Bombyx mori: one gene and its partner. The protein of the gene in region 1 purifies or fractionates together with the protein of each later gene. This does not show direct contact. Links are inferred from orthologs where the notes say so. Each region holds a gene or a part of one and is shown on either strand. Other genes may lie near its edges.

The links.
Region 2: the proteins of negative elongation factor B (region 1) and negative elongation factor A purify together in Homo sapiens (affinity purification with mass spectrometry; 8 studies listed by BioGRID and IntAct, counting the BioPlex papers as one, with this or other methods). This does not show direct contact. The link is inferred for Bombyx mori from reciprocal best matches to the Homo sapiens genes NELFB and NELFA.

Annotation. Positions count from the first base shown.
Region 1 is NC_085125.1:6,339,743-6,343,737, forward strand, and holds negative elongation factor B, read right to left. Parts: upstream 2,645-3,995; 5' UTR 2,490-2,644; coding exon 726-2,489; 3' UTR 649-725; downstream 1-648. Other genes in the region: CWF19-like protein 1, read left to right, coding at 3,465-3,481, 3,560-3,720, 3,975-3,995. UniProt on the Homo sapiens protein: Essential component of the NELF complex, a complex that negatively regulates the elongation of transcription by RNA polymerase II.
Region 2 is NC_085132.1:9,755,436-9,758,155, forward strand, and holds part of negative elongation factor A, read right to left. Parts: intron 2,498-2,720; coding exon 2,232-2,497; 3' UTR 1-2,231. UniProt on the Homo sapiens protein: Essential component of the NELF complex, a complex that negatively regulates the elongation of transcription by RNA polymerase II.

The DNA of each region.
Region 1 (3,995 bases):
AAGCTGATCCGAGCTAAAGTACCCAGGAATTAGCGGCTTAGTTTAACGTTACCTTACCAACAATACTCATGAATGAAAATTTTGAAAAGAAGAACATCATAGGTACCATTTGAAAAACGTTTCACTCAAAAATCTCAAACCATGAAGGTTCTATGTCAATTCGAAGTACCTATTACAATACAACAGCAATTTCATACTTTAACCCCTATTATATTAGTTACCTACATAATTACCAGCACTATCATATTTATATTAATTGTACGAGTAATAGATCTTTGCCTATGAAATTGCCGTTTTATAATATTGCCGGGACACGTAAATAGTAATTATGGAAAACGAGTTTCGTCGCGGCATCAATGCCGCAGAAACGCCTCACAACATTAATGACGTGTATAGAGTGAACACTGGAGACGAACGCACGGTTTGGTGTTGGTTTAAATGCTTCTGTCAGGGAAATTTTGGTCTCCCTTTGGTCAACCTTAAAAACAAAATTATTGCCCTTTTATGCAGACATTCTAATGGACCCCCTTTGTAACCATCGCTCATGGACGAAAGCAATGCCAGAACCACAGACAATCAACTGACTGCTGACTTATAAATCTAAGAAAAGACAATAATTTTGTTTGGAATGTTTTGCAAGAAAACATGTTTTAAATTGTTTTAATATTTATATAATTTATATAATGTCTATAACTTAAAAGTAAATAATGAACAATGAATATTTGCTACATATGATATGGTGCTGGCGTGCGTACACTCATTAACGGGGAGTCCAGATATTCCATTTCAGTTGCACTCGGACCGGGTTCTGTTTGCGCATTTAATTTCTGTTGTAAAGTCTCATATAATTTATGTACAGATTCATTATGCTGAGTTCCAGGCTGCAGCGCTTTCATAAGAGTTTGAATTCTAGTCTCTGGTAATTTTGGATGAATATACCACAGCAATTTCAATAAGTGTCTTGTCACATTATCCTTAGATAGTCCAGCAAAGAAGAATTCATCAAATAATACAGTACTAAAATCTTCTCCTTGGAACTCATCAGGTAACTGTACTAGAAGTGCCACTAAAGCATGCAAAAATGGGTCTTCATATGCTCTACCATCTTTACAACTACCGAGAATACTAAGAATGCGAAGTAAGGCACCACGGTCACGTAATTTGGCTGCATGCAGTGTGTAGTACATTGCAATAACACCACAAACTGAGCTTTCTCTCATATAGGCTTCACAAGCATCAGGTGGAGGTCCCGAGTGCTCTATCGTAGTGATGGCAGACTCTCTTTCATCTGGAGGTAACTTATTATGTAGTGCTCTCACTTGATCATCCACCATCAATGACATCAAGGCAGGCAAGTATTTTGTGACACATTGACTATCTAATTTTGGCTCTTTGAATTCTTGAGAATCGATCATTACCCAAGCGCTCAACCCTAATGCCAACATTCTTAGCAGTAGTATTAAAACTGTACTATCTCGAGGTAGCCCTTCAGTGTTTATTAAATGTTGTAAAATTTTGATAGCTGACGTTGCTAAGAAATTGATAGCATAAGGGTCGCATAACGTCATAGAAAGATCTCCTAGAACTTGCTCCTGTCCCTTTTTAATACTGTCTAAAAAACCTTGCAGTTCCCTAGATCTTTTAATGTCTACATTCCTTTCCCTGATACAAGCATCCAAACACCATGTGAATTTATGACAAGGGTCTACAGATATGATGTCTTGAACTTCTAGGTCATGCAAGGCCATGAGAAGCTCTGCTCTTAATGTACAATAATGAACATTTCTAGTTCTTAAGAATAATGTTCTCAGGAATTGTAACACCATGTCATATAACTTAACACTAGTACCTATCATGTGGGCAAGTTTCTGAACAACTGCACCTTGTCTCCTTACTTTTGGGGAAGGGGAAAAAAATAGATTTGTAAGATTTTCATGATCAAACAGAACATCTTCTTTCTCCCTGATGTACTGACTGAGGAGTGGAGAAACTTCATCTCCAAACAGTGACTGGTTGTCTTGCCATATTTGACGCTTCACCTCAGTATCTGTGTCATTGTACAGTTCTCTGTCGCGAACTAGTACCCTTAGATACTTATCATCTATATGTGGGATATTTTTAAGAATACCCATTATAACAGGTCTTAAAGCTTTAACTCTGACGACTGGGAAGCTTTTAGATAGCAGTTCTTTGAGTTTTTTGTCATTATCCTTGTTATCTTTATTGCCAAGCTCGTTGATGTGGGCAATGAGTTTTTCACGTAATTCCTCCAGAACTGATGTATGAAAGTCAAGCCGCCGAACGCCATGGAGGTCTAGTAAAGGCAGCATCGGCCTTAAAGAAGGCAATAAAATACCGTTTTCAAGTTGAAACTCTTCAATAGCTTTCAATGGGTCGGTACAGCTTGTCAGAGCATCTCGCAAGAAAGTTTGTCCTGGTACTCCCACTTCTTCTAGACCAGTGCCTGGTAGTTTACTTGACGACGCCATCGATCTTAATTTAATTCAGTTTTTCAGTTCATTTAATAAATCAACACAAATAAATCTTAAATAAAGTTAACAACAACAGAAAATAACATAAATTAGTTTCCTGCTTAGAAATTATTGACAAGCAACTGACATTAAGCATATATTGACGTTTGACATCGAGCAGTAGTTTTATTTTTTTAACTGGAAAGGCAAATATGTCATACCATACGCCTACTCATATATATTCTTATATATGAAAAATGAAAATTTGAAGTGAAATAAAATGAAGTTGGTTAATTAATAACATGGTATGAAATACAATGAGATGAGATGATATGGGATGAAATATAATCTCAGTAAAATGGTGGTTATCTACTAAGGCTTTTTAAGTGGACTTTTTGGAGATCCCGAGAATTTACGTCCAGCGGCTTTGTTTCATTTTCCCACATTTGTGCAATTTCACAGATATTAAACAGCTAATAAACCACCGTTATTACTTTTTTTTTTAAGAGATTTTATGACCTGGTAACTGTGACTTTTAAGTCATGTCTTATTTTAATCTATATTCTTGATTTTATGAAAAATGATATTATGGAGTGAAATGAAATGAAAATGATTAATTTGAGACATTAATCAACTAGGATGAAATTAAATGAGATGATATGAGATGAAATCTAATCTCAGTAAAACGGTGGTCATTTACTAAGATTTTTCAGTGTACTTTTTGGAGGAGCCCGAGAAGTTAAGTCCAGCGTCTTTGTTTCATTTTCCCACATACCGTTATTACACAAGTGAAAACGTTTACAGATTAAAAGCCGTTCAATATTATTTGTAATCTCTTCGTAGTCTGTCATTATCATAATTATTGTGTTTTATTGGCTCAAACGACTCGTTACCAAGCCTTAAATTCTATAAAATTGACAGTGTTTTATCTAAAATCTAAAAGTTTGTATCAATCAAATTACCAATTTAAATGCCTTTCACTTGTGTATAAAAATGGATAAACAGAAAACGTAATTACTGATTGGTTTTCGTCTTAGTTTGAAAGCAATGCAAACAACTGAAATGAATTAATACATACTGCTTTTCAGATTAATATGTGGAGATGTAAATGGGAATTTCAATGCTTTGTTTACGCGCGTAGAATCGATTGTGAAGAAATCTGGACAGTTTGATTTGCTTTTATGTGTTGGAACATTCTTTGGAGATGATAATTCACAACTGGATGCATATAAAATGGGAACGAGGAAAGGTAAAAACGTTGACTTAAAATTTTTAATACGATAGAGATGGGCTCATTAGTTTACGGTCGACCCGGTATGAGATAGTCATTGGAACCTCTACATGTTTCATATTGATAATAATTATACTGTCGCTTATACTACCACGTGAGGATGAAGCATCAACATTATTGAGGCATTGGAATTGGTCAATATTAATTTGGGTGGGTTATGAATACATTTTTTTCTGACTATATATTTTTTTATCAACAATCTCAAATTACAGTTCCAGTGACAACCTATGTTT
Region 2 (2,720 bases), on another chromosome or scaffold:
GACGTCACGCGAGAAGAGAGATAAATGTGTCTCGAGCCAACGCTTGGGCCGATCGTGCCTCTCTATCGCTTGTTCCGCGCTCTCGCTTGCACGCTCATGCTCAGGCGGAACGTGACACTTTTTCGTGCGTGCAGCCGGTGTTCATCGATTTACAAGACGTTATTACGTCAAAACATTGCAAATCAAAGCCGAATAACATTATAAAAATCCGCAGTGAACTAAAGCATACGATATATAATCGACTGGATACAACTTTAATCACAAAGTCAGAATTTAAAAAATCTACATATTGGCTAACTCTTTGCTTTGTAACCGCTTTGTAACTATATACAAATTCACACTATACTATAGAGATGTAAATTCTGTGAAAACACAACGAAACTCTTTTTAATTATTTTAAATACGATGTGATTATCGAAATTCGCCCTTATTCCAGTTACATATAGCAGTCATACATGTGACATATATAATTTTTAATATTTACGTACTGTATAATACTTGACTTATTTATGGGCGTAAGAAGTTTGACTTCTATGGTGATAAAATCTAGATATATGTATATATATAGATGCAAACAACGAGTGTTTATGTTAGGAAAATATTAATGAACATAGTCATTTTAAAACGATAATAACGCCACCTACTTTCTGTTTCAATGTATCCATAACTTTTATGTTCCCAAATCATGTCATAATTTATTGCATTAATTCCGAATATTATTATATTTATGAATCATCTATGAAGCCTGACTTCACCTGACCCGAGGTCCACTTGGCTTGGTGGAAATATCTCGAACACAAATAGTAAATTTTTCCATTACGGCCCATGAGTATTTGTCAAAATTGTCCAAGTAGTTACGACCAATGTAATCAATTTGGTATATATTTATGATGCAAAATAACAGTTCTAGATAAAGTCGAACAAAATATTAACTAAATAGTAATGGATATATGAATATCTATTTGTCACAGTCTGTGTTTTTAAATTAATTTGGTTCAATTTAAGCCACACATATAATGCATTTCTTTGTTTTGCACTGATCCCTGATTCTCTGAAAGGCGTGTGGCGCATTTACGTTGTAGATGTCTATGGGTTCCAGTAACCACTTAACACCAGGTGGGCTGTGAGCTTGTCCACACACCTATGCAATAAAAAAAAATCCCACAGTTTTCTACTTTTTTAATTATATACCATATAGCATTTAGATAGACTAAAGAATAGAGATGTATGTATGGGTCCATAAGAAACAGAGTGAATTAAAATAAGAATTAATACCATTCGTCACAATCGTTGAAAAAAATACATCTATAGTATTCCATGGATACAGAAGAACAAAATAATGTATAGGTATGTGGCAATGATAGATGAAAAAACAGTTTAAAATATAGAACAACAGAATAAGATGAATACAATCATGTTCAAGTAGATTGTACCTGAGATTACATATAAGCAAATAAAGCTCTCCGATTTCAATTTGACTTGGCTTTAAATATTCAATTAGACATAATTAAGCTTACTTTTACAGTTTAGTCTCGGGTTTATTTGTTTCATTTTATTATATCTGACTTTTATAATGCTTCAGATTTTGTGTTTACGGTTGACTATATATATTATTATGCTTACTACCTTGATCATTGATAGTATCATTATGGTAGGCAGCGGCTTGGCTCTGCCCCTGGCATTGCTGACGTCCTTGAGCGACGGTGATCACTTACCATCAGGTGGGCCGTATGCTCGTCTGCCTACAAAGGCAATAAAAAAAAAATCTCAATTGAAAATGAGAAACCCGAGATTAAAACATAAAAGGAGTTTTAACTATGTGAATTTGAAGATATTTTTTTTTTCTTATCAATTTCTTTATAGAAAGATAAATGGTATAATATACATTACACACATTATAATAGATCATTTTGGGGGTTGTATAAAGAACAGTTAAAAACTTCTTATATTCTGTACTTACATTTGCTACTTTTGATACCGCACAGTGTAATAATTTTCATAAATTACTTTAGAATTTGCATCAGTTCTGATTGTATTGTCTCACATCAATAATATTATGCATACCTACCGATATAATTTCACGTCACATTCAGTAAAATTGAAATAGCACAGTAAGTGGCCAGTCTCGAACCTGTCACGCATGATACTGGGGCCACAAGCACATTAAACACATTTCAACACTTTAGTTGAGAGCACTTGATAATGTCAAAGTCATTTATCACTGAAGCACATTAGCTAATCGTTTGGTTGGCTATTGAAACTACAGGTTGCTGATTCCCGGCTGATATCACAGTGGATCCTGGAGGTATCTTCTGCGGCACCATGCCGTCTATAGGTCGGTACTTCTTGAGTCTAGTCCACTGTCCATTGTTGTAGTTCATTTGGAAATGCATCTCTGAGAGCATAGTGAGATACGTGTCGTCCGACTGTAGAACATTCTCAATGTTTTCAGAGAGTTTTATCGTAACAATATTGCCGAGGTTCGGACACGGATTATCTGGAATTAAAATATAAGTGGTTAATGTTTTCATATTATATTGATGATTTTTTAAGAGTCGTCGTGCATTCGTGTTTAGCGATGCGCCGGTGTTCGAATCCCGCAGGCGGGTACCAATTTTTCTAATGAAATACGTACTCAACAAATGTTCACGATTGACTTCCACGGTGAAGGAATAACATCGTGTAATAAAAATCAAACCGGCAAAATGATATTTTGCGTA